Linked DNA regions of Astyanax mexicanus. The protein of the gene in region 2 interacts with the protein of the main gene of each other region in a biochemical or structural test. Links are inferred from orthologs where the notes say so. Each region holds a gene or a part of one and is shown on either strand. Other genes may lie near its edges.

Region 1 (7,439 bases), on a different chromosome or scaffold from region 2:
AACATAAAACACATTGCAGTGAGTGAGCCGTTCGACGAAAGGGACAAGTGGAGGATTTTCCTTCTGAGACTTAAGATAAATATCTACTCCAACTTTCATGTAGGAGATTCATTGCTGTGAGTGTTTTTACATGTTTTTTTTTTCGATTACCATGTTTATTGCAGCAGTTCCCTGCGCTGTTTGATTTTGAGGATGATTTTAGAAACCAAACAAAACTAAAATGGTAGAAATGTAATATCAGCCAGCTCAGGGGCTAAATGTTGCCCATTTGAGGAAATTGCATTAAAGGACAACTCAGGCTTACTTGAAATCAATAAATGTGGACAACTTCTTCTGCAGCCCTAGGCTCTTTTCTGTTGAACAGGCTTTTGTTTCTGATTAAATAACAATCATCTCTTTTGTCCCTCCAAGCTGCAATTTTCCCATTTTTGCCTCAGTTAAGGTTAGTGCTCGGTTAAATAATTGGGGACCACTTCTAATAATTGGACCCAGTCTTCACTACAAGAAAATCTTGGTAGCCTAGGCAAATTCCCTGCGCCACCAAGATTCCATGTGTTATTTATTTGTGGAGATGAAGATTATGGAGTTTAAGGGAGAGACATATATCTGGGGTTTTTATGGCTCTGGATTCCAAATGTTAAGGGAGGACATATTTTCACATAAGACTCCACCCAAGGTGCAGGGATTCTGGAAAACGCCTCAGCAACACTTCAAGTTCTCCTCAGATGCCTCATGGATCTCACTAACTGACACCTGTGATGACGGCTGCTTTCTTAGCTTAATTTTTACTCAAAATTAATTGAGATGAACCTTCCATACCAAACACTAGAGCACCACATCCTTCAGAATGCTTGAGTTTGCTATAAGAATATTCCCATGTTTTGATTCCTCAGATTCTGTGGCTTTTGTCATCTTAAATGGTCCTCTAGATATTATGACTGGCAGACATCATATTCCTCACAGAGGTGGGCTATCATGCAGATGAAAATACTGCAATTAAAAACACTCATGCATGATTATCATAATGAACAGAACTGACATATAACCCAAAGTCAGCTTGAACAGAGTGATCCCTTATGTAACAGAAGCCAATTATAATTTCTTGAAAGAACAATAAAGTCACTAATGAGGTGAAAAGTGAATAAAGGCTGTATTAGGGCTGTTTTCCTGTTGTCGGTAACTGATGACTTTAGCAGACCAAGTGCTGTTCTGTTGAAAAGAGCATTTTAAATTAAAGTGTGACTGCTGCTGCCAAAACTTGTCAAATTGACAAGTGGATCTGACATGGATGCTTGACTTGCAGACTTTCAGGTAGGCCTTCCTGACAGTGCTTAACATGCCATGCTCTAACCAATCTACTTCACCTTTAAAGCTGCACAATCTGATGAAATCTACTCCATTATCCTTAATCATCTAAAGGCTTTTGTGGCTTGTTACCATAATTGTTAGATTAATTTAAAGATAAACATAGACAGAGAAGATGCTCTGTGGATCCAAATATTCATTCATCCTCTTCTCTGGACCATCACATAGATGGCTAGGTTCCCAATATATATGCCCGCAAGTATGCAAGCAAAGATTTTGGTTGTTAAGTATGGCAGCTTGCTAAGCTTAGGAGGGAAGCATATGAGCTGCATTCAATCTCAAATTACCTTTAATATTAGCAATGACATCTCATAAACTGTGGCCAGTGCACCAGTGTCCAATAACAACAAACTGTCTACTGCTACTGAGATGCTGCACTAGTTAATAATGATGGACTGCTGCCCAAATCAGTTTTTTGTGTGGCATTAAGCTGCAGTCCATGACAACTTTTATCTCTGAGTGACAAGTTAATGTAAAAAATGGTTTATCAATTTCACCTTATAAATATTAATTTAATAGGATTCAATCGACTCAAATCTAAGTGAAATATACTCTTATTGACTACTGATTCATTCAGAATATAGTGGTGCCCGACCTTTTTGAGTGTTTTATATTTTTGCATAATTTAACCTACAACTTCTACAGATTTTCTTAAAACAAGTCCTAAAATGAGGTAAAAAGATCCAAATCAAACAAATCAGACAAAATGTTATGAATTGTCTATAAATTAACCCATTGTACCTTCCAAGCAACTAAAGGAGAATTTTCATCCATATAAAATTGCTGCATCCCAAAATTTAAAAAAAGAAAACTTATCCATCTGTGAAACACAGTGGTGGTAGTGTTATGGATTGGGTCTTTGGGCAAGGATGGCCTCTTATCATTTATGTAACAGTGGATTTGGACTAAAGCCAGTTCTGAAGGAAAAAGTCAGAACACCTGAGCTAAGAATGTGGGTCATGCAGCAAGACAACAACCCTAAGAAATAATCTGACTAAAAGTTTAATATTTCTATCTAATATTTCTGCCTTATTTTTGAATGTTTATTATCTTTGTTTTCTTTCAGCACTTTTAGAAGTGGCAAATATTTAAAGGGTTCCCACTTTTAAACATCTCTGTAGTTAAACTCTAAAACTGTAAAATAGACCAGAGTCTACATTTCTGAATTACTGAATTTTACACAGAAGCTCACTATTTCTTGAAAAAAGCAACATTAATGAGAAAATTCAGTAAAAACGCGAAAAAAACATACTGACCACACACACACACACATACACACAGCGGTTATCTGCAGCCTGTGTTGAGAGTTATCTAGGTAAAGTTTCTCACCTGAGAAAGAGGCGAGCCCGATCCAAATCCCACAGAAAACCCGGCTCTCTCTCTTCATCTCCGGATTTAATCTCCTCAATTTAAACTCGCGGGTTTTCTCCGCGCGGCGCGGGAAACTCCTCAGGTTCAGGTGTCGCGCGCCTCTCTCTCCTCGGCGCGGGAAGAGCGGGAGAAACAGCGGAGTAAAAACACGCAGAAACACGAAATTCAAGAGGACCTGAGTGGATTTACTATCATTTCCCCCCTTTCCTCCCTCCCGGACTCAACTCCCACCTCCTGCATAAACCGATCTGAGGGCAGCGGCTCAGACTCGGACCTTCAGGGTAGAAGTCTCCTCCTCAGACCAACTTCCCTCAGATAAACTCCCTCAGATTAACTACCTCAAATAAAATACATCAGATAAACTCCCTCAGATAAACTACCTCAAATAAAATACACCAGATAAACTTCCTCAGATAAACTCTCTTAGATAAACTCTCTCAGATAAACTCCCTCAGATAAACTCCCTCAGATAAACTCCCTTAGATAAACTCTCTCTGATAAACTCCCTCAGATAAACTCTCTCAGATAAACTCCCTCAGATAAACTCCCTTAGATAAACTCTCTCTGATAAACTCCCTCAGATAAACTACCTCAGAAAACCCCCCTCAGATAAACTCTCTCAGATAAACTCTCTCAGATAAACTCTCTCAGATAAACTCCCTCAGATAAACTGCCTCAGATAAACTCCCTCAGATAAACTACCTCAAATAAAATACCTCAGATAAACTCTCTCTGATAAACTCAATTCAAATTTACTTGATTGATTAGTCAGACTGACTGATTAGTCAGAAACCGATTTTGTGGATTGTTTTACTGACCATCAGATCAGCCTTTCCTCCAAAAATTGTCAGCTACACCTGTCTTTAATTTCAGTGCTGAAATGTTCCCAATGGACTGAAAATTTGATAAAGAGTATATCAAAATATTAAATACTGAACCTTTATATGAGCCTAATATTAGCACATTGGATGCATCAATACAAAGAATCGGATAGTTTTGGATTAATATTGAATTGTATTACAGAAAATCTTGTTATATTTTTTTCATATAAAGTTAGGAATATTTTTGTATCGTTTTGTTGTACTATAATTAATGTGTTAAGTTTCTATTATAGCTTGAATGACTTGACACTATATCTTAACAGTGTATCCCATTAGCCATGCTAAACTTAGGGCTACATGTATCTTAATCATAGAATACTACAGATATTCAGTGCATTTGAGGTGTAGAAGTCATATTTTTAAATCGCAATAGTCTCATATTTTGTGATAAATATTTTTGTACAAACCACCATGGGCAAAAACTAACCAGTTTAGATAATTTAGATGGGAGTATATTTTCATATTTGAACATCACTAACACACCGTCCGCAAACACGGCCACAACAAACCAGCAATGCATATCAATGTATTTCTTTTTAACCCACATTTACCAAAAAAGCTTGTTTTCAAGACCAGTGATTGCTTAGCCACAGTGAGAAACTCTTAAATCTAAGATTTCTATCTCCCCTAAAGCTACATGCCTTAATCAGTGTCTTGTGGTTTATTCTGCATATGTTGTTCTAACAGATCTGAAATGCCTCCATTTCAGAAATAAGAACGTATCCTGGCACCTCCATAAAGGACAAATATATAAAGAAAATCCTATTTGTACAGATAATGGTTGCTACATTTGCCTAATAGACAATTGCCCTGCAGCAGAACTCCAAAAGTCTCCTATACAAAGCTGTGTTATAAACACTTAGGTCATAAAATGTAATGCAATATTGCCACTTAATCTAATACATCTGAGACTCTTTGACAGACACAATTAGCATTGCCAGAAGGGTATTTGTTAAGGAACCTTCAAATCAAGAGCTTTCTTTTCTTTCCATTTCCCTGCTCCTGTTTTTTCTCAGATTCTTGGAAACTATTCCATTCCATCAAGACATACTTTTAAAAAAGGCCTACTTCTAAATATTAATCCCATATTGCTCTGAAAAGCCAAATACTCTTGGGAAAACAACCATGATACTAAACTCCCAGACCATGTACAGCAGCTGTGCTGACAAAACCACAGTTTAATTCAGCTTGAAATACTGCTCTACTTACAAATGTCATACAGAAAAAAGATGATTCCTGTTATTGGCCCCAACTGTCATCAGGTCCCAACCATTATACCTCTCGAGTTTTGGCTGTATGTCTTGAATTGCATTTACCAACAGCTGGCCCAGAAAAAAAATTTGACACTTCGCCATCTGCTGGGTTGGATTGTAATGGAATACAAGTACTGGGAATACGTACTGAGAATACACAAATTAACTACTTGTAGTCAGCCCATGATTTGTTTTGAAAAGCAGTGTTCAGAATATGCTGGGCAGATTTACTTATTTTCAGGGCCTTGTTAAAAGACAGGATTTCGTCCCCTAAATGGACATTTTTAAATGCATTCATTCAGGTTCTCTTGACTTATACCTTATAACACGCCTTGGCTATTTATTGCCCCCACACAAAAAAAAAACCTACACACCCAGTGATCTCCTGTTTTCATGTTCAAATAAGAATTGCAATTGTAGGCAGTGGGGTCACCAAAAGAACTATTATTTTTATTATAGGTGTCTGACGTTCTGAGCTATCGATACCATCATTAGGAGGCAGATGATCACAGACATCCAATCTTTCATTTTACAGATTATACCTATCTTCCGTCTAATCAGCAATGAGAGGACCATTTAACTCTCAACTTCAATGAGAAATCTCTTACTTTCAAGATTTAGCTCGGGCTTTAGAGCTACATTTTCTTGGTAAAATGAAAAGTACATGGAAACTCAAACTGGACACTGATTTTACAGAACAATAAGAAAAGACATAGGCTTCAAAGTACAATGTAAAAAAATCTGTAAAAATGTTTTATAGTCCGGCCTCCCTGCTGCCACATAAAAATATATAATTTTACGTAAGTTACAAAATGACAAATTTGATTCATTTTGGTAGGTGTGAATACAGTAATAACACACAACTAAACCAAGACCAGGTGAACACAGTTAGGTCTCTAGTGAACTCTAGTGAAGTTGTTTGTTTAGTGAGAAGGTGAAATGGATTTCTTCTTCAATTGTATTTATTGCTTCTGCAATAGATCAACACATGCTGCATTGAAGTTGCAAGTTTATGTCCATGTGTGCGTCTGTGTGTGTGTGAATAGCGTAGGTGTTAATGCAAAGTCTAAGTACACTTGTAGGTTAGGTTGCTGTTTGTTATTCATTGTTTGTTCATTGTTTGTCATATTTCTGTCTCAGATTCCTCAGATGGCTCTGCATCAAGAACCCCCAGTCAACAGCCGATACAACAAAGCAAGCAATTCCTTTTGGCAAACATTTATCCAGAGTTACATTTACAAACACCACCTAAACTTCACTGTCCAAAACACAAGCTTTACCTAAACCAAGCCAAGAAATGTCGTCAACATCTTTAGGCTTGGAGGATCCTGAGACTGACCATCAAAGAATAGAAATATTTATTGTGTTCAGTTTAATCAGTATTTTTTATTGGAAGAAGTGGATATTGCGTGTTTCAGACTAAAGACAAGAAGGAACATTCAGATGTATCAACAGCAAGTCCAAAAAGCTACAATCTGTTATAGTATGAGGTTGTGTCACAGTACATTTATGTGGGGACAGCATTAATGCAGAAAAGTATATAAAAATTTTAGATCAACATATTCTGTTTTTCAGACATATCTACTGTTCAAACTGTTCAACGCTGCCCATCTGAAAGTGATGCATGTCTAGCTCTCCTAATTGGCAATTATTAGATATAGTCATTTTCACAGATTGCAGACGACAACATATTTACTTTCTATGAACAGAAAAAAAGTTTATTTCCCATTTGGAGGAAACCTTAAAGACTCCTCCAATTAACCTGAGCAGGGTCTTCTTTTGAGTTGGGAATGAAGGAGAGGGAAAGAAAAAAGAGATAAAAGAAATATCTGTAAGTTTTTTTTTTACTCTTAGATAAAAGAGATTTACAGCAAAAAACAAACTGATGATGCCTGTAACCATGTTTACCCCTTTCAGTAGTTCAGGGTGTGTGATCTGAAAGGTAATAATGGTGAAAATGGATTAGACTAGACACTAATCATTACCAACGACTGCAGAAAATATGGATGCCATTAATTTCTGATCAATAGAAATAAAGAAATAAATCTCACAGCCAGAGTCCGACTCCCGACACCTTCTGCTAAAACACACCTAAGCCTAAAGAAAGATTTTCACACTGCATCAGTTTGTCCATTAACTGTAATGTTATAACAGTAAAAGTACAGTTCATATATTTTATTAAATATTAAAAGTATGAGTGAAAAATTATTTCATACACTCAGTGTCCAAACTATAAATATTATATAAACATTATTAGAAATCCAACAATAAAAATACATCACAGGAAGTTACCTGAATGAATCAGGTGTGTGTTAAATTTGTGATCCTCCCATTTCACACTGTGCTCAATAAGACTGACAACTTTGCACATTGTCAGCTGATCATCAGCACTTTCTAAACAGAACAGAAGAAAAACAGAACAGCACAAAAATGCTAATTATTATTTAGCTGCTGCTGCTAAATTTTGCTTTATGAGTTTTATTCAATGTATAGTTTTGTACCAGTTGTTTAATTAGTTATGTTTAAATAAAAATAATGATGGGGAATTCAGTGGCACTGTACGAATTTA
Region 2 (7,005 bases):
AAGTTCATTTTTAACTGAAATAAAGTAGCTTTTCAAGGACATTCAATGTTCAGGCATCAGTGAGAAAGTTGAAGTTGGGCCGGGGCTGGATACTTCAACAAGACAACGACCCTAAACACTAAACACTGCTTAAAATCGACTAAAGCATTCATGCAGAGGAACAAGTACAACGTTCTGGAATAATCATCTCAGTCCCCAGACCTGAATATTATTAAAATCTGTGGTGTGATTTATTTTTTAAGAGGGCTGTTTATGATCAGAAACGATCAAACCTGACTGAACTGGAGATGTTTTGTAAAGAAGAATAATCCAAAATACCTTCAACCAGAAGCCAGACTCTCACTGAAAAAAGCTATAGGAAGAGTTTAGAGGCTGCATTTTCTGCATAAGGAGAATCTACTAAATATTGATGTATTTTTTTCTGTTGGGGTGCCCAAGATTGTTGCACACTTTCTGTAAATCCTATAAACTTCATTTCATTTCTTAAATATCACTGTGTTCACCCGCTATATGATATATTTAACTGCAATTGCTGATTCGAACAACCAATGATTTATAAAGGAAAATCATAAAAATTATCAGGGGTGCCCAAACCTTTTCATACAACTGTATATGCTGGACGTTCTATGTAGCTGCATTAATTGTTTGTTCAACATTAAGCTTGGTGGAAAAACAGTATTTGTTTTGGGTTTTTTTTTTTACCCTCCAGTTGTTTTCGTAGGCCACTTTCAGTCCTACTGGTTTAGCTAGTACTACAGTACAGTACAGCTTCACTGTAACCCAGTGTGGTTGTGGCTGGTGTACTTCAAATACTGCAGCCACCAATCTCTGCTTTAATAGCTATAGAGCTAGGTGTGAAGTGTGTGTATATCTAAAGGTGTGAAAAAAGACACAAACAACAGCAAAATTACGGAGCCCGGGAGGGGCCGTGGATAAAAAAAACAATTAAATCGAGTGAACGATGTAGCAGTTCGTGCTCACGTTTTCTTTAATTAGAGTGAACGATTTGCAATTCGTGCTCACGATTTCTTTAATTCGTGCTCACGATTTCTGTAATTCGTGCGCACGATTTCTGTAATTCGAGTGAACGATTTCTGTAATTCGTGCTCACGTTTTTATGCGCAATAAGACAAGAAGCTCGGAGGGAAAGGAGCATTTTCTCTCTTGATCTGTTACAGGGGTGCAGTAATGATAATCAGTTATCTACCTTTATAACCTGCTGTTATTAATGCACTAGTGTTACAGTTAGATGTACAGTACAGTGAGCAGATTTTGCCTGGTGGTGGAATCTCTACAGCGCGTGGGGGAGAGCCGTCCGCGGCATCGGTTCCCCCGCCGCCAGACACCTGCCGCGCGCGCAGGTCTTCACGGAGCTTATTTACCAACAATGTAGACAAATACAGTCAATTCCAGTCATGATTAAAGGAAACAAACATTACTAATGCAGGATAACTGTGTGTTATTAAAACCAGATCAAAACAAAGTTATAATGCAATGTGGAACTGTTTATAATTTCTTATTTTCAACAATAGTATAACGTAAAGAAGTATAATTATATAAATATACAGCTATAAGACTTAGGTCCAAATGTACACTGTAAAAGTTAATAAAGATAATACAAAATTAATGCAAGGTGTGACAGTTGTCTATGAATGGCTCATATAAGAGCTGCTTTAAATATGTAACACTATATAAAATCAAAATAGCTGGTCTAAAATACTATTAATACAATGTATTAAGATATTTAGTAAATAGGCATTTCATATAATAATTTGGATCAATTTGATAATTTATTCCAATATGTTTCCTAAAATAATTAAGTTTCTATATCTGATGAAATGTCCTGAATATCTGCTTATTCTCAAATCACAGTGTCCTGCCCAGAAACATGCCACAAGCTTCAAATAAAAAAAATATAATAATTATAAACTTCTTAAATGTATATTTTCTGAATTATGTGTTTATTTATTATACAAATTATTAAAATATAGATTAAATCTATCATAAAAGTAATAATGATGTAACCAGATTTAAGAAGGTGTGCATTTCCTTGGAGGCTGGCTGAATGTTATTTAGAAATTAATAAACACATTTGCACATTGCATTATAACTTTGTTTTGATCTGGTTTTAATAACACACAGTTGTCCTGCATCAGTAAAATGTTTGTTTCCTTTATTCATGACTGGAATTGACTGTATTTGTCTACATTGTTGGTAAATAAGCTCCGTGAAGACCTGCGCGCAGGGCAGGTGTCTGGCGGCGGGGGAACCGATGCCGCGGACGGCTCTCCCCCACGCGCTGTAGAGATTCCACCACCAGGCAAAATCTGCTCACTGTACTGTACATCTAACTGTAACACTAGTGCATTAATAACAGCAGGTTATAAAGGTAGATAACTGATTATCATTACTGCACCCCTGTAACAGATCAAGAGAGAAAATGCTCCTTTCCCTCCGAGCTTCTTGTCTTATTGCGCATAAAAACGTGAGCACGAATTACAGAAATCGTTCACTCGAATTACAGAAATCGTGCGCACGAATTACAGAAATCGTGAGCACGAATTAAAGAAATCGTGAGCACGAATTGCAAATCGTTCACTCGAATTAAAGAAAACGTGAGCACGAACTGCTACATCGTTCACTCGATTTTATTATTTTTTTTATCCACGGCCCCTCCCGGGCTCCGTACAAAATAGTGAAACAAGACAAACAATAAGATACAGCAACTGGATAGAGCAGTACACTCTGTCCAGCAGTCGTAGTTAGTCGTAAACCCTGCTTTAAAGTCGTGTATTACACTCAGTCAGCTTCAGCCACGCTGTAAATAACTCCCAGCTTTAATAAAGTCCAGCAGCAGCAGAGCTACTCACCGATATTCCGGCTCCATAAAGCGCAGTCTGAGCTGGTGTGGAGAAAGTAAACAGCGTGTATAAGCGCTGAGCTCCAGTCTGAGACATCCAGCGTGCTGCTCTCTGATCCTCCAGCCGCCTGAAGGACTTCCTGGTGCAGTTCAGCAGGAGCGCAGAGCTCAGACAGAGGGAGGGATTACACTCAGATCTCAGCCATATAATCCACCCTTCTCAATCCGTGTATCATTCGTTCATTTGATATTCAATTGAGAATCAAAATCGGAAAATTAAAAAACCAATTCGTTTTTTCGTTTTTTCGTTTTTGAATATAATACCAAAAAACGAATAACGGCTTGTATTTTGTATTTTTATTTGGTTATCCAAACAAAAATTGGAAATTTAAAAAACGGACCAGGAGCCGAATTTGATTTTGATTTTGAACTTGACCCATTTGTGTGCCCCGGAAGTTACTGATTTGTTTATTCTTGGTGGGTTTCTGTTGCGCGGGAGTTCACTGCAGTGTTATCTACACAGTCTGTATTGCTGTAGGCTTTGGATGGAGTTGAGGATGGAGAGTTTTATCTTGTTCAGAGGAACTAAACGCGTTGCAGTGAAAGAAGACGATATGACAACAGAAAAAATCGGCAGGATCTTTCAGGTGTTTGTCTAACGTTCCGTAGCTAAATGTCATATTTAGTTAATACCTTCAAAAAGATCTTTAATTAGGCCAGAATGTGGTTCCAGTCCGGCCATGCTGCCTACAGCAATACAGACTGTGTAGATAACACTGCAGTGAACTCCCGCGCAACAGAAACCCACCAAGAATAAACAAATCAGTAACTTCCAGGGCACACAAATGGGTCAAGTTCAAAATCAAAATCAAATTCGGCTCCTGGTCCGTTTTTTAAATTTCCAATTTTTGTTTGGATAACCAAATAAGAATACAAAATACAAGCCGTTATTCGTTTTTTGGTATTATATTCAAAAACGAAAAAACGAAAAAACGAATTGGTTTTTTAATTTTCCGATTTTGATTCTCAATTGAATATCAAATGAACGAATGATACACGGATTCTTCTCCCATCATACTCCTCACTCCTCCTGAAAAAATATTAAATATTTATTTAGTCATTAAAAAATCCTTAAAAAAACACATTTATGTACTGTTTAGACTTTAAAAAATAAATAAAATCATTAATTAATAAAATAGCAAAAGTGTCTATTTGAAAAATATTTAAAAAATATTTTTTTAAAGATCTAAACACATTTAAACAAATAAAAAATATGAATACGTATATTTATTTAGTAAAATAGCAAAAGTTTCTATAAAAAAAAAAAAAAATATATATATATATATATATATATATATATATATATATATATATATATATACTTTTTTAAAGACCTAAACATATTTAAACAAATAAAATATGTTATATTTATCGTATATTTATTTAGTAAAATAGCTAAATTATCTATTTAAATTTTTTTAAAATATATATATTTACGTTTTTAAAGACCTAAACATTTTTAAACAAATAAAATATATTAATACATACATTTATTTAGTAAAATAGCTAAAGTATCTATTATATATATATATATATATATATGTATCTATTATATATATATATATATATATATATATATATATATATATATATATATATATATATTTACTTTTTTAAAGACCTAAACACATTTAAACAAATAAATAAATATTAATACGCATATTTATTTAGTAAAATAGCGTCTAAAAAGTGTATATTTTAAGTGTCCAGTGCAGATAAAAAAAAAAGGATTTATTTATTTTTAGAATATATTACTGTAACTATTTTTCAAGAGACTTAAACACATTTACATTGTGGTTATATTTTTAAAAAACTGCAGCGAACATTTTTTTTATATTTTATTCTATTTTATTTTTTAATTCTTTTTAAAATCTCAGCAATTCAATCCACCTCTTTACTAGCTCACTTCACACTCACACTCATATTATACTGCTTCAGCTCTCAGACTGCGCTCAGTTTAGAGCTTTATGACCTGGAAAAGCAGCGAGCAGAATCACGGAGCTATTTACAGAGAGCAAGTGCTCCAACACACACCATGTTTAATAGATGTAAACACTACATTTAGGTCTTTAAAAATTTTTTTAGACTTTTTATAATAAATAAATTAATGTAGTATATTAGTTAGTAAAAATAGTAAACATGATTATTTTAAGTGTCCACAATTTAAATTAAATATTAAAATTAAATAAATAAATATTTATTAATGTATTCATTTATTTAAAAAGTATGTAAATGTGTAAACATATTAATGTGGTGTTTAGACTTTTTAAAATGAATAAATAAATATTAATAGGTTTATTTAGTTAATAAAATAGCAAATATGACTATTTAAAAAATGCCCAGTGCAGATGAAAGAATAATAAATATGCATTTATTCATTTAAAAAGTCCTAAAACACTAGTCCTAAATTCATCTAATGTTTAGACGTACATACTTTAATAATAAATTAATGAATAAATAAATTTTGTAAAATAGCAAAAGTGACTATTTTAAAGTGTCCAGTGCTGATAAAAAATATAAAATATTTATTTTATATTTTATTATTTAATTATTTATTTATAGTGTGTATTTATTTTATATAAAAAAGACCTCAACACATTATACAGTGGTTAGATTTTTTTTTAAATCTGCAGTAGAATGTTTTAAATATTTTTATTCTATCTTATTTTTTATTCATTTTAAGTCTTTTTATTCCTATATCTATTAGCTAATAAATCGTTAGCTAATGAGTGGGTTGGTATCTGTCGTCGGTGGTTGAGCCTAAATAAAACAAATGAAAACAATGATAGGATATTAATTGATGATCCTGGAGGTTCTTTTCCATCTCCAGCTCGTCCCTGTGTGCCTGCAGCCGAAACCTGTTTCTGATCTTACCAGGTAACAAAAAATCCTGTTTTCTGATTTGTCGATTGTTCACTAATTCAAGCTCGCTGTAGCGCATAAGGCCATGTGTGGAGTGTGAACTTGTAGAAAAGACATGAGAGTCCTCCTCTGCCTGTATTTCTTGGTCCGGGAGGTCCAATTTTAGAGATTTACCTGTTCCCAACACACTAGATCCAACTGATCAGGTAATTAAAAGCTCGTTATTAAGGTCCGTGTGTTAAAGAAGGAAATCTAATAAAATAAAAAATGACCTGAAAAAAAACTCTGCCTTATGTTGGTTAACCATTGAGTTTCTTGGTCATTTTGGACGACCAACGTGGCTTTGCTTCACATGCTGGTTTACCAGTGTGGGGAGGAGGGTCATGTTGGTTAACTAGCATGTTTAAGCTTGGTCATACTTGTTTGTGGGGTTTAATCAGGTTGATCGTATTGATAGACCAGCTAAATCAGTGTTTTTCAATCCTGGTTCAGACACACCCTGCCCTAATCATTTTATTGCTTTACCTCTTACAAACACACCTGATTCAACCAATCAGCTCATAGACCACTGAAGTCCAATCCTTTTTTTTTGTAAAAACTTGCCTCTACCACATTCTGTGGTAAATAAATATGTTCAGAACCCTGTACATTTTATTATGTTTTACATTTACCTCCTGAACATCACTGGATCCTCTAAATTTCGAGATCGTTTAAGGGTAGTAATTAGAAAAATGCTAACTTTAAGCTAATGCTTAACTAAGGTCACAGCACAGCTGCAGGGAGTGGCAGAAGACTCGATTCTGCACTACACCAGCGAACTCCGCCCGGATCGCATTTTGGATTATTATTCTTTAGAGAGGAACATTAAAGCATTTAAACAGGTGAAACACTTTCAGTATGGTGATGTTGAGCAGTGTAGCCTCTGTGTTAGAGATTTAAAAGGCAGATAATAAGAAAAAGTGAGCTTTAGCTGTTCAGTGATTTAGTTCAGGAGCTGCTGCAGGTAATTCACACATTGCGCAAGGAAAAAAAAAGCACCCGAGAAGAGAAAAATTAAGCTTGAGAGCAATATTTTCTTCAGCGCGCACACGGTTCCCTTTTTTTTGCTAGTTTCACATTTGTGCTCACGAGAAGTTAATTTACACACGCAAAATGTTAAAAAACGTTGGTTATTTTTTTTCACCTGGTATTTTTGCGCCCCCGACTTGTATTTTTAGGCCCTC
Region 3 (7,405 bases), on a different chromosome or scaffold from region 2:
GTTTCAGGATGTTTTTGCGATAACAATATTGCAACGATAAATTACTTTATTATTATTTTACTTTTATTATTAGTATTATTATTATTAGTAGTAGTAGTAGTAGTAGTAGTAGTAGTAGTAGTAGTAGTAGTAGTAATACAAATAATAATAATAATAATAATAATAATAATAATAATAATAATAATAATAATAATAATGTTTTACTATAACTACAAGGGTTTTATACATTCAGTTAAAACAAAAAAAAATAAACATCGGTCTGTTTCATAAAAGCATAAGTGTAACAAAATAAAACACCTCCTTTACAAAGGCAGTGTTACAGGTAACACACAGGCTACAACTGCTTTACAACCTTAAAAACTTAAAGGAAGCATTGCATATAACACATATGTACTCAAAGCCACCACTTACTTAAGTATCTTAAGTAATACACCTCCTTTACCAACTTAAACTTTACAAACTTAAGGGCAGTGTTAAACACAACACATAGGCTCCACTTCCTTTACAAACTTTACAAACTTAAGGACAGTGTTAAACACAACACATAGGCTTCACCTCCTTTACAAACTTTACAAATGTTTACAAGTTTTCACAAACTCAACAAACTTAAACTTTACAAACTTAAGACATTGTTACATGCAACACAGAGGTTACATCTCCTTTACAAACTTACAAAATTAATGGTTACAGGTTACACACAGGCTACACCTCCTTTAAACATAAAGGCAGTAATATACGTAAAACACAGACTACACCTCCATACAACACATAGGCTACACCTTCTTTACAAACTCAACAAACCTTGCAAACCTAAGAACAGTGTTCCACATAACATAGTCTACACCTTTCCAAACTTTACAAACTTATGGGCAGTGTTACATGTTACACGTGCCAACTCAAGGGCAGCGTTACACATAACACACAGGCTACGTCTCCTTTACAAAATAAAAGTAAGTGCGGTGCTACACTTTACACACATGTAGTCAGACACCACACACCCCTCCTTTACAAACTCAACAAACTTTACAAACTTAAGTGAAGTGTTACATGTAACACAACAGGCTCCACTTCCTTTCCAAACTTTACAAAGTTATGGGCAGTGTTACATGTTACACATTGCACATGCAAACTTAAAGGCAGAGTTACCCGTTACACAGTCTACACCTTTACAAACTTCAAAAACTTAAGGCAGTGTTACACTTTACACATATGTAGCTAAAGCCACCACTTGTAAGTACCACACATGGGCTACAACTCCTTTACAAACTCAACAAATTTTACAAACTTATGTGCAGTATTATTTGTTACACACAGGCTACACCTCTTTTACCACCTTAAACTTAAGGGCAGTGTTACATGTAACAATCTACACCTCCTTTACAAACTTAACACACTTCACAAACTTAAGGGCAGTGTTACACGTTACACATAGACTACACCTACTTTACAAACTCAACAAATTTACAAACTTAAGGGCAGTGTTACATATAACAGTCTACACCTTCTTTACAAACTTAAGGGTAGTGTTACATTACACTTTACACACATGTAGCCAAAGCCACAACACACAGGCTACACCTCCTTTACCAATTTAAACTTAAGGGCAGTGTTACATGTAACAAGCTACACCTCCTTTACAAACTTAACACACTTGACAAACTTAAGGGTAGTGTTACACTTTACACATATGTAGCCAAAGCCACCACACACAGGCTACACCTTCTTATACACATATTTAGCCATAGCAACAACACATATGCTACACGTCCTTTACAAACTTAAACTTACAAACTTAAGGGAAGTGTTACACCTCCTCTACAAACTTTACACACTTAAGGGCAGTGTTACACGTTACACATATGTAGCCAAAGCCACCACACACAGGCTACACCTTCTTAACAAACTTAAACTTACAAACTTAAGGGCAGTGTTGCACGTTACACATAGTCTACACCTGCTTTCCAAACGCAACAAACTTTTCAAACTTAAGGGCAGTGTTACATGTAACAGTCTACACATTTATTACAAAATTAAGGGTAGTGTTACACTTTACACATATGTAGCCAAAGCCACAACACACAGTCTACACCTGCTTTACAAACTCAACAAACTTTACGAACTTAAGGGCAGTGTTATCTGTAACAGTTTACACCTCCTTTACAAACTTTACATGTATGTAGCCAAAGCTACAACACATATGCTACACATCCTTTACCAACTTAAACTTACAAACTTAAGGGCAGTGTTACACCTCCTTTACAAACTTCACACACTTAAGGGCAGTGTTACACGTTACACATATGTAGCCAAAGCCACCACTCATAGGTGCCACACAGTTTACATCTCCTTCACAAACTCAGCAAACTTTACAAACACAAGAACAGCGTTACACACAAGCTAGATGTTACATGTTACAAGTTACTAGTTGCACGTGCAAACGGCTGCTGCCAGCAGTGCGCGTGGGGTTGATTTACCTGCACAGTAACTAGTAGAGCGTGCACTGAGAGTGTGTGTTGTGCTTCATGCATGGTTACAATGTGTCTCTGTAACTTTGTTTAGCAGCGGTTCGCTACTTTGATCTGAGCGGGTAACTTGTGGATCAGACGGCAGAATCAGTCAGAGTCTCGCGGGACTGAACTCGTGCAGTTTTATCTGTTTAAAGCGGACAGTTATCTCGTTCCTGCGCTAAAAGAAGGAACTCGCGTCCTGGCGCGCGCACGCGTGTTTGTGTGTTTGTTTGTTTGTTTGTTTACTTGTCTAGTTTCCTCCTCACCTTAGAAACAGCGCGCGAGCGCAGGTACAGCAGCGGGGCGCTCGCGGAGCGACGGGACAGCGGAGCCGCGCGCGCGTTACACATAAAAAGAGAGATAAAAGAAAGTAGAAACAATGTATCTGTTTGAACTTACCGCAGCAGCGCGCGCGGAGGAGACGCAGGAGTTAGTAGTAGTAATAATATCAACTATCGGCACTTCTTCTGCAGCAGGAGCGCGTGCGCTGGCGGAGCACGCTGTAAAGTGCGCGGCGGTATCACTCCGCGCGGAGGGACTAACTAACCGGGGTCTGCGGAACTCCGGGTCTCCCCGCGGTACCGAACCGGCGGATTTACCGCTCCCCTCTCTCTCTCTCAGCGCCCTGAGATAAAACAGAGAGATAGAGAGTGATAGAGAGAAATAAAGCAGCGGATTTATATTTAGTTATTTCTCCATTCTGCTGCTGCTGCGAAGTCTGACTGACGTCACATCCACCTGCTGTATAAACATTAGCAGCTCCTGATAACATCTAATAAACCTTCATTACATCTGATAACATCTACTAAACCATTTCTCTGAGATACAAACATAAATTCTGAGATATTATCTCAAAATATTAAAATAATGTGACATTTAATAAACATGAATTACTTCCACTTTCATGTACTAAACCATTGTTCTGAGATACTAAATATAAAAAATGAGATAGCTTCTCAACATAATGAGATAGCATCTGAAAATATTGAGTTATCTCAAAATGTCAAAATTATGAGCTAGTGTCTCAAAATGATGAGATAGCATCATAAATGAATGACTTAATGCGATCTCTCATAATTTTGAGATACTATATTAGCAAAATACATCTTCAAACAGTCCATTATTATCTAAAAAGAATTGAGACAGCATTATAAATGATTGACCTGTTATTTCAAAATAATATCTTAGATTCTCAAAATAATGAGATCATAATTTTGAGATACTAAGTGATTCTTTGACAATGATTTTTGCAGACTTTGTATTTCAAAATAATGAGATAGCAATTTACTTAACAATGAGAAAATATATACCACCCTCACCCCTCCAGCATCGCCTCCTCCACCCTCACCCCTCCACCCTCACCCCTCCAGCATCGCCTCCTCCACCCTCACCCCTCCAGCATCGCCTCCTCCTGCATCACCTCCTCTAGCATCGCCTCCTCCACCCACACCCATCCTGCATCGCCTCCTACAGCATCACCTCCTCCACCCTCACCCATCCACCCTCACCCCTCCAGCATCGCCTCCTCCTGCATCACCTCCTCTAGCATCGCCTCCTCCACCCACACCCTTCACCCCTACAGCATCACCTCCTCCACCCTCACCCCTCCTGCATCACCTCCTACAGCATCGTTTCCTCCACCCTCACCCCTCCAGTATCGCCTCCTCCACCCTCACCCATCCTGCATCACCTCCTACAGCATTGCTTCCTCCACCCTCACCCCTCCTGCATCGCCTCCTCCATCCTCACCCCTCCAGTATCGCCTCCTCCACCCTCACCCATCCTGCATCGCCTCCTACAGCATCACCTCCTCCACCCTCACCCCTCCTGCATCACCTCCTCCCTCATCGCATCCTCCACCCTCACCCCTCCTGCATCACCTCCTACAGCATCGCTTCCTCCACCCTCACCCCTCCACCCTCACCTCCTCCACCCTCACCCCTCCTGCATCACCTCCTCCACCCTCACCTCCTCCACCCTCACCCCTCCTGCATCACCTCCTACAGCATTGTTTCCTCCACCCTCACCCCTCCTGCATCACCTCCTCCCTCATCGCATCCTCCACCCTCACCTCCTCCATCCTCGCCTCCTCCACCATCGCCTCCTTCAGCATCGCTTTCTCCAGCATCGCCTCCTCCTTCCTCACCTTCTTCAGCATCGCCTCATATTAATCTTTATTTAAAAACATTGCTATCTTATTGTTTTGAGATACTAAATCATTATTTTAGATACTATATCAGCAAATTACATCTTAAAACAGCCAATTAGTATCTCAAAATAATGAGACATCATCTCAAAATAATAAGATATTATCTCAAAATAATAAGATAGCGTCTCAAAATAATGGGATGCTATAGTACAAATAGTAAGATATTGTCTCAAAATAATGACTTTTTATCTGAAATCAATGAGAAAGCATCTTAAAAGGAGTGTCTCAAAATAGTGAGATATTGTCTCACAATAATGACTTACTATCTTAGAATAGAGAAATCAATGAGATAGCATCTCAAATTAATTAGAGAGTGTGAAAAAAAGTGAGATATTGTCTCAAAATAATGAGAAATCATCTCATAATAATGAGATATTTGCTCAAAACAATGAGAGAGAGACAGAGAGAGAGAGAGAGACAGAGAGAGAAAGAAGATCTCAAATCATTTTCAAGAGCTTTCACTTTTCACATATGATTTAAATTAATTGTCCAAACAATAAGTTTGTGTTTGTAAGGCTTTTTTTTACAACAAAGAGCTAAAAAAACTGCACTAATGCACTAAAATACAATAAAATAAACCCTAAAAATGGTTAATCTAACATATGATGAAAGCTTATTGAATGTAAAAACACTTTTCAATTTACAGTAGAATCTTTAACAGACACGGTTTAATCAGAGTTAAATGATTGTATTTATCTATATTCATTTGGGTAGAGTTAAATAAAGAAGTTTAGTGCAGAACTGTAAAATGAGTTGATTCCAAAACCCTTAAACTGTGAGGTAACAGTCTATAGACTCTTTATATTTACATGTACAGTACCAGTTAAAAGTTTGGACACACCTCTTCTCATTCAATGTGTTTTCTTTCTTTTTATGATTTTTCACATTGTAAATTTAATATTGAAGTCTATATTAAAGCTCCACAGAAACATTTTTAATAATAAACCAGAATATGTTAAAATTATACTTTAGATTCTTCTAAACAAGTATCATATTTATCTTTAAGGACAGATCTGCAGACTCTTGGTGAGATTTTAATCTCAGTGTCTTCCTGAGGGAGAGTCACCTGGAATATTTTTCTGAGCGTCTTGAAGGAAGGAGTTCCTGGAGGTGCTGAACAATAGTTGCTGCTTTTCCTTCACACTGTGAAGCTCCAGCTCCTCCCAATTAAATCACCTCAAATCACCATCTCAGTTCATCAGCTTTAGATCAGGAGATTAATGTGGAGAAATAAAACTTTTTTTACTGTTTACTACATAATTTCATATAAGTCCCTTAATCGTTTTTAATGTCTTTAATATTAATCTACAATGTAGAAAATACATTAAATAAAGAAATAAAGAAAAACACTGAATGATTGTTGAAATAGTGTAAAGAAAACAAATATAAGGTTTTACCAAATTGAAAACCTCTGGAATATAATCAAGAGGAAGATGGATGGTTATCCAAAAGCAGTGTGTAAGACTGGTGGAGGAGAACATGATGCCAAGATGCATTAAAAAAACTGTGATTAAAAACCAACCAGGATTATTCCACCAAATATTGATTATTTCTGAACTCTTAAAACTTTATGAATATGAACTTGTTTTCTTTGCATTATTTGAGGTCTGAAAGCTCTGCATCTTTTTTGTTATTTCAGTCATTTCTCATTTTCTGTAAATAAATGCTCTAAATGAGAATATTTTTATTTGTAATTTGGGAGAAATGTTGTCTGTAGTTTATAGAATAAAACAACAATGTTCATTTTACTCAAACATAAACCTATAAATAGCAAAATCAGAGAAACTGATACAGAAAATGAAGTGGTCTCTTACTTTTTTTCCAGAGATGTATATATATATATATATATATATATATATATATATATATATATATATATATATAGATTATATTATATCAGTTTGAAATTTGAAGATTAGAAATGACGAAAATGGAGATACAATATTTTTATGTGAAAGAAACCCAGTGTAACAAAGATGTCCTTGCTCAAGGTCTAAAAATCCACTAGTGAATGATGTTGATGGTATATAAAGCTAATGGTATATAATGCTGATGGTATGTATATACTGTACTGTAAGCCAGCATGACTGCAGTCCTGTTCCTTCCGCTGCAGAATTGCAGGTTTGAGGCTCTTTCACAGGTAGATAGTGCCACCAACTGGTACCACTGAATAATAATAAAACAGGAGCTCAGAAATTCAGAGATCACTTCAGTTTCTGAATCAGTTTCTCTGATTTTTCTATTTATAGGTTTATGTTTGAGTAAAATGAACATTGTTGTTTTATTCTATAAACTACAGACAATATTTCTCCCAAATTACAAATAAAAATATTCTCATTTAGAGCATTTATTTACAGAAAATGAGAAATGACTGAAATAAAAAAAAAATTAAAAAAAAAAACACGCAGAGCTTTCAGACCTCAAATAATGCAAAGAAAACAATATATTCATAAAGTTTTAAGAGTTTTCATGCTTGATCTTGGCATCATGCTCTCCTCCACCAGTCTTACACACTGCTTTTGGATAACTTTACGCAGTTCAGTTTGGTGGTTTGATGGTTTGTGATCATCCATCTTCCTCTCGATTATATTCCAGAGCTTTTCAATTTGGTAAAATCAAAGAAACTCATAATTTTTAAGTGCTCTCTTATTTTTTTCCCAGAGCTGTATATATATACACATTATATTTG
Region 4 (7,061 bases), on a different chromosome or scaffold from region 2:
TTTTCACTCCCCACACCCTCCAACTCCCGTCCAAGCTGTCACCTTTTCTACTGAGTCTCTGATGGCTTTACTGGGCCGGGAAGGGGGAGAAAATGGAGGGGGGAGAAAAAGAAAATGAATGAAAGAGAGAGAGAGGGAGAGAGCGAGTGAGAACGGAGATGGACGGCTCCATTGACACAGCAGCCTCTCACTTTCTTTAACAGCCTTATTAGCCGTCCCTTACCAAGTGAAAGAGGACGTTTCTTTTCTGCAGGCTGAAAAAAGAAAAAGCAGGCAGGCTTTCTTAAAGGGGGAGAAGAAAAAGAAGAAGAAGAAGAAGAGAAAATAAGAGGTGAAAGCATATTAGCCACTGCTCCCTCCTCTCCCAAACCCACTACGTTTTTTTAGTAAAAAATTTTTTTGGAGGGGAAAGGGTGAGGGGTTTGTGGTGGGAGGGGGGTGGTCCTTGAAAAGGCCCTGTCCAATGGAAGAGACAGCTTGGAAAGAGAGAGAGCGAGAAAGAGAGAGAGAGAGAGAGAGAGAGAGAGAGAGAGAGAGAGAGAGAGAGAGAGAGCGCAGTAGGGGGGCCCCCTCTGTCTCTGACGTTTAGAGATCATTAATCAATCTGCCCCCACCTCAGCGTTAAAGCTTGGAGATAAGACCCCATGAAGAAACCCACAAGGCGCTGCACGTAGAGACTGTATGCTCTATGGAACATAAAATAAACTCATTCCAATCTTGGAGCAGATTTGGGCAAATGCATTGTATCCCCTTTTTTTGGCATTTTTCACTTAAGAACAAATAAAAATGATCCAAACTGAGTTTTACTCATATAGTACTATATACAGTACCAGTCTAAAATTTGGATAAATCTTATCATTCAATGTTTTACTTTTTACTTTTAATGTAGAAACTTAAAAGTATTAAACAAACCAAAATACTTTAGGTGCTCTTATCTGGGATGATGTTAAGTTACAGTTTCTGAGACTGATAACTCTGATGAACTTATCCTGTGCAACAGAAGTAACTCTTGCTTTTCCATTACAGGAGTGGTTCTGATGAGAGCCAGTTTCATCATAACGTTTTTGATGGTCTTTGTGACTGCACTTAATGATACTTTTACAGTAGTTAAGAAGTTCTTGCCATAATATGGATTAGAACGTTACTCAAATAGAGCTATTCACTGTATACCAACTCTACCTCTTTACAACTTCACAACTGATATACAGTATATTAGTCAATGGTTTCTCAGTCTTTCTTGGTTTCTCAATCTATTCCACTGACAGTAAAAACTATTTTTTTTTGCTTTTCTAAAGAACATTCTTTCTTCATTTGCAAGGTTCCCGCAACTCTGGTTAAAATTAAACAACACAATTTTAAGCGTGATTTCAACCCCAATTTCCAGTAGTGGTGAGTCTGTGCTAGTAGTCTCTAGTTTGTAGACTCTGGTATAGTGGGAGCTGACAGTTGGACTGTAAGTTGTGTAGTGTATGCCGGGCTGAGACTTTTAGTGCTGATTTTTAGTGTCAAAATCACATCGGACTTCAGTCTGACCAAAATCAAACATTTAATTTTCCAACCCGATTTTGGGAAAATGGCAAAAACAAAAAGCTTACAATAATTTAAAAGTTGCCATGAAGAAAGATGTTAAATTTACCCAGGTTTAATCTCTGCACACGTCAGCTACAAGTAACAAGAGAGATAATAGTAGACAGTACTATTGGTTCAGTTTGGGTCTGTTTTGCTGCTTTTTAAAAGAGTTTAAATGACCGACATTATGCATTAAGCAAACTGTGCATTTATTATATAGCTATAGTTTGATCACAAATGATCTCTCTATATATTTTTACTTACTTGGCCATTTTTTCACTTTGAACATTATAAAGTGCCATTACCAGCTCCCTGCAACCGATGCCTTCCCCTGAGGTTCAGAACCCCTGTGTTCCAGCCAGTCTTGTTTCAGCATGGCTGTCATGATTATTCTCAGTGACAGGCCCGTTGCAACAAGGCAAGCAAACAAATCTATTGCCTAGGGCCCCGAGCTGGCCTGGGGCCCCCAGATAACAACTGGTTGTGAATTAAATGCAAGGCAAACTATGTGAGCACCCCTTTAAATTCTGTGATGGTCAATGCAGGAAAGTAAAACAACACTGTTATTAGAATCCCCCTCAATGGAGCCCCTCCCACTAATTGCTGACAGTAGCCAGTCAGCCGTGCTTGTGATTCTTGCAGCTAGCAAAATATGAAACTTCAGTGATTATGAAGTGGAGTTATCCATCAAAAAAAGAGAAAGAGAAAACAAGCCATGTGATAAGAAAATAAGTGTTAAGTGATATTTAACACTGGATCAATGAGGCCCACACATACAAATGTTGTAAGGTAGATTAGCAACACAATATATGGATGATGTTTATGTTACCTACCAGCCTGGCAGTCAATGCTAGTAATGAACTAGAACAGCCAGTGCAACAAGTTAGTTGAAAGGGCTGATAATATGGTTACATACTGTAATGTTATATTAACAGGATAATGAAAATCTGTTTTAGATTCACTGTTTATAGTATAACATGACATTGCAATAAACATTACAATAGTTAAAGGAAAACTCCAGTGTAAAATTGACTTTTGGTGTAGTAAAACATGATAAAGCTCTTTGAAAGTTATTAATGCCTTGTTTTAAATGTCAGGGCTCTCCAGATTCTACCAATGAGGTGTGAAGCTACTATGAGCCTGGATAATGGTGTTAAAAGTGATTTATCTGCAGGGACAAAATATGCCCCATATCATTTATTCTAAAGCATGTTTGGACAAAGGAAATAAAATTACATGATCTCTGAAAGCTGCAAAAGAATAGAGGTGGCCTATTCAACAAAGGTTAGTACTCCTTATCACATTTTACTACACCAAAAGTCAATTTTACACCAGAGTTCTCCTTTAACTTTTTTAACATTTTAATCGTGATTACCTATCTACCAAATTTTGAGTTGTAATAACCTATGATAATTCTGTGCATCATATAACCAGACTGGAATAAGTTTAGTAGTATCCATACATGTCAGCTGTTCAATGCCTTCAAATTCTTAAACAGCAGAATGCTTAAACCTGTTCTAAAAGTAACATTAGAATGGGGTGTTTTTAAGTTGTATTTCTGCTAAGTGTAAACATCTGAAACTAATATTAACAGTTAATGTTCACATTTTTTTAAATATATTGGCTTTTACAGTTATTTTGCCCTTTTTTATACACTGCCTGGCCAAAAAAAAGTCACCACCCGGATTTAATTAAATGATGTGAGGTTGCTGCAGTTGGTCAGGTCTAGGTTCAGCAACAGTAGGTGCTGAAAGAATGAGGTCAGCTGACTACCTGAATATACTGAATATAGTCCCGGTTATTCCATCAATGGATTTTTAATTTCCTGATGGAACGGACATATTCCAAGATGCCATTTCCAGGATTCATGGTGCTGGAATTGTGAAAGAGTGATTCAGGGAGCATGAGATCATCATTTTCCCACATGGATTGAGAGAAAGTTCACCACAGAGTCCAGATCTTAACCTCACTGAGAATATTTGGGATGTGCTGGATGGAGAAGAGATGCTTTGTGCAGAGGTCAGACTCTACCATCCTCAATGCTGCTGCAAGATCTTGGTAAAAAATTAAAGCAACACTGGATTAAAATAAATCTTGTGACAGCTTGTGGAAAGCTTATTGGAACAATGCCACTCCAAATGCGTGCAGACTTTTAATTTGGTCAGGCAGTCTGTTAGTTGTTATGGGATAGAGGTGGGTTTACATGGTGGGGACCTGTTTTGCTTGGGGCCCCAAAATACTTTGAAACGGCGCAACTCAGTGAGCGAGCGGGGCTGCAGGTCCGAGCGCGCGCGGATGAGGGAGTCGCAGCAAAAATCAATGCGCGCGGTGTGCTCAGGCTGGCCAACAGGCGGCGTGCTTCTCGGGGAAAATAGTGCGTGTGGTGTGCTGCTGGTGCTGCTGCTCTGGGGGAGGGGTAGGTTCTCTCCCACTGGTGAAAAGTTCGAGTTTTTTTGCAGCAGCAGCAACAGGAGGAGGAGGAGGAGGTCTTCAGTGAGAGCAGAGCTGAGGGGTTTAGAGCAGAGCAGACCCGGGCAGAGCACCGCGGAGGAACCTCAGCTCAGCTCAGTGTCTGGACTCGCTCAGGACTGACTGGCGGAGGAGCGAGAAAAAACTGCAGTGAGGAAACGGATCGGGTTTCAGGGGGGAGTGACATTTCTTGAGGGGCTGGAGAGAAAGAGGGAGAGAGAGAAGGAGTGAGGGAGCTGCAAGAAGAAGGAGAAAAAGAAGAAGAGCCTGTAGCCTAAACCTGAGTGAGAAAAGCGTCTGAGAAAAGCAGCAGGAGACTGTCCGCGGACCGTGTCTAGCAGGATGTATACCCGGGCGAGGCGCTCCGTCTCCGGCTGCTAAAACTCCGCTTTACCCCCAGCCTTGGAGAACCGTGGGGGCTGTTGTTTTTTTTAGGAGGTGGAGGAAGACGAGAACGACTCTGCGGAGACGGACTTAACGGAGAAAGACAGAAAGTTCTGGGTGTTTATCGGTGTTTTACTGGAGTTTTACAGTGGATTTACTGGTTCGCTGCTGCTGGATACGGATCCGGGCTGGCAGTGATTTTGGAATAGTGAAGACTGGGCGATTCAGCGGAGTTTTTCTTATTTTTTTGAGGGGTTTGGAGCGGAGTTTGGATATATATCATCAGTCTGCCCATATGCCCCCGCCTGCCTGCGCTGTTTGTGCGGATCGGGATCCTCAAAACTTAGCGGTGAGTTTTCGGGCCGCAGAGTTATCGAGCAGCGCGCGGAGCGCAAACAGCGGCGGAGCCTGAGCGCCCGCGCGCCCGCATGTTTTTAGCGCAAGACGTGATTGAAACGTGGCTTGATGTGGACAACACGTCCCGGGCGCTCTGCCTGCCTGCTGTTTTAGTTAAGCCCAGCTACCCTAAACGTTTAATAAACGTTGATCGAATAAACGTTACAGTTTATATCTTTTAGTGTTAATGGAAATAAAATCAACATTTATCAACGTTTATTTAGCGAAAGGCTTTGAATAGTGCTATTAAGATAAACAAACGTTAAACAACCTGTTGACCCTAAATTATTGTTTAACATAATATGCCTGTTATGCATTTGTGTTCTCACTTTGACATCGAATCAACATTCATTTAGCGAAAAGCTTTCAATAGACGTTTTTTTTAGTTTTATTGCATTGTTTTTATTTTTAGTAATGTTTATAATGGAAATACAAACAGGTATTAAGTTATATAGTTAAAATCCTTTATTTTAACATTGAATCAACGTTTAATAGGCGAAAGGCTTTGAATGCTTGGGGAACTTTTACACTCACAACCCTGAAACAAAATGTGGGTTGTATTAAATCTACTTTAAGTGTTGACAATAAAAAGAAAAGCAAACTTTATCAAACATCAAATCAACGTTTATTTAGCGAACGGCTTTGAATAGTGAAATAAACTTTAAACAACCTCACTTTCGACATCGAATCAATGTTCATTTAACTTAAAAAGCTTAAAACAAAAAGCATTGAATACACTTTGATTTTTATGTGGGTTGTATTACGTGTTTTGATGTTTATGATAAAAAAGCAAAACAACCATTGTTTAACATTGAATCAATGTTTGTTTAGCTGAAGACTTAGGATAGTTGGGACACTTTTGCTCTCACACAACCCTGATAGCAAAAAAAAAAAATTGGGCTGCATGACATCTTATTTTAATATTGATGATACAAAGAAAAGCAACTTTTAGCTAAACAACCTTTATTTCACATCAAATCAACGTTTGTTTAGCTAAAGGCTTTGAATGGTCAGGACTACACTCACAGTGCTTACATGCGGCTAAAGGTGCACCTCACAAGTCATATCTATAATAATATTTATTATAATAGTAGGTTCATCATTATTATTATTATTTAAATGGCCCTCTCTGCACTGCAAGAGCAAAGAGTGTTAAAGTTGAATAAAAACAATGTTAAATCGATGTTGAATCAGAAAACGTTGTTTTTAGTGCATTAGAGGTTAACAAATAATAAAAGTTGATTCAAAAAGGGCGTTGTGTAGTTTGTGTTGGAATGTTTAGTAGCAATAATCTATAATCTTTTTCATTATGTTAAAAAGCAACTCTATTAAATTAAACAGAATTGAATGAATTTAGGTCAGAAAATAACAGTATAACCCAGTAAAACTTTGGTCAGACACAAGATTAAACATTATATTAGTGGGTGGAGACATTCATTCATCTCATTTAAACAGATTGCCCATTTACCGACACCTAAATGCATTGTTTGCATAAAAACAGGATCGTAAATCTGTGATTGTGAATGCACTGGCACTGAGTGATTGTAATGTGAAAGGGATGATGGTGATGAGCTTTAACGTCTTTAGATTATTTTCTTATAATTAAAAGCAGGAGAAAACTAGTCAATAGTTAGCTAGTGATTTAACGGCTTTGTTTTTTACGCAAATAAATTAAAAAGTACCTAAACTGTACATAAAAAAAAAAAAAGCAATGAGGGGTGTAGGGGTGGGTGATATGGCTCTAAAAAATAATCACAATACTTCAAAGCATTTTTGCAACAACAAATTTCAAGATTATACTACCTCAACACAAGAAATAATAAAGTTGTTAAAGTACATGCAGTAGAAATAAAAAAGTCTATACATTTTTATCTAATTGTAAACTTAGCAAGACACTTCTAATTTTGTATTAAATGATACCTAATAAAAATAAAGAAATCTACTACAAAGAAAGCCAATATAGTGCATGCATACAAACTGCAAACAAAAAATTTAAAGTAAATAGAATAAACTGCTTTCAAAATATCGCTATTATTTTTTTATCTTGTCAAAAATGGTTGTGATGTTATTGCATGTGATAAGATACAGTGAAATAAACTCACTGCATTTGCTAACTAATGTTGCCATGCAAAGAAATGCTAAATTTACGCAGATTTAATCTCTGCACACGTCAGCAACAGGTAATGAGAGAGATGATAATTAGCTATTAGTAGATATTAGTAGATAAAGAGCTTCTTTAAGCT

What was found.
Region 1: the proteins of lrrk1 (region 2) and flt4 form a complex in vitro, tested with the Homo sapiens proteins (2 studies listed by BioGRID and IntAct, with this or other methods). The link is inferred for Astyanax mexicanus from reciprocal best matches to the Homo sapiens genes LRRK1 and FLT4.
Region 3: the proteins of lrrk1 (region 2) and foxp1b form a complex in vitro, tested with the Homo sapiens proteins (2 studies listed by BioGRID and IntAct, with this or other methods). The link is inferred for Astyanax mexicanus from reciprocal best matches to the Homo sapiens genes LRRK1 and FOXP1.
Region 4: the proteins of lrrk1 (region 2) and fgfr2 form a complex in vitro, tested with the Homo sapiens proteins (2 studies listed by BioGRID and IntAct, with this or other methods). The link is inferred for Astyanax mexicanus from reciprocal best matches to the Homo sapiens genes LRRK1 and FGFR2.

Annotation. Positions count from the first base shown.
Region 1 is NC_064417.1:66,103-73,541, reverse strand, and holds the start of flt4 (vascular endothelial growth factor receptor 3), read right to left. Parts: upstream 3,004-7,439; 5' UTR 2,753-3,003; coding exon 2,695-2,752; intron 1-2,694. UniProt on the Homo sapiens protein: Tyrosine-protein kinase that acts as a cell-surface receptor for VEGFC and VEGFD, and plays an essential role in adult lymphangiogenesis and in the development of the vascular network and the cardiovascular system during embryonic development.
Region 2 is NC_064423.1:9,982,311-9,989,315, forward strand, and holds the start of lrrk1 (leucine-rich repeat serine/threonine-protein kinase 1), read right to left. Parts: upstream 3,021-7,005; 5' UTR 2,871-3,020; intron 1-2,870.
Region 3 is NC_064412.1:2,033,444-2,040,848, reverse strand, and holds the start of foxp1b (forkhead box protein P1-B), read right to left. Parts: upstream 3,001-7,405; 5' UTR 2,907-3,000; intron 1-2,906. UniProt on the Homo sapiens protein: Transcriptional repressor. Can act with CTBP1 to synergistically repress transcription but CTPBP1 is not essential. Plays an important role in the specification and differentiation of lung epithelium.
Region 4 is NC_064414.1:11,917,898-11,924,958, forward strand, and holds the start of fgfr2 (fibroblast growth factor receptor 2), read left to right. Parts: upstream 1-4,047; 5' UTR 4,048-4,771; intron 4,772-7,061. UniProt on the Homo sapiens protein: Tyrosine-protein kinase that acts as a cell-surface receptor for fibroblast growth factors and plays an essential role in the regulation of cell proliferation, differentiation, migration and apoptosis, and in the regulation of embryonic development.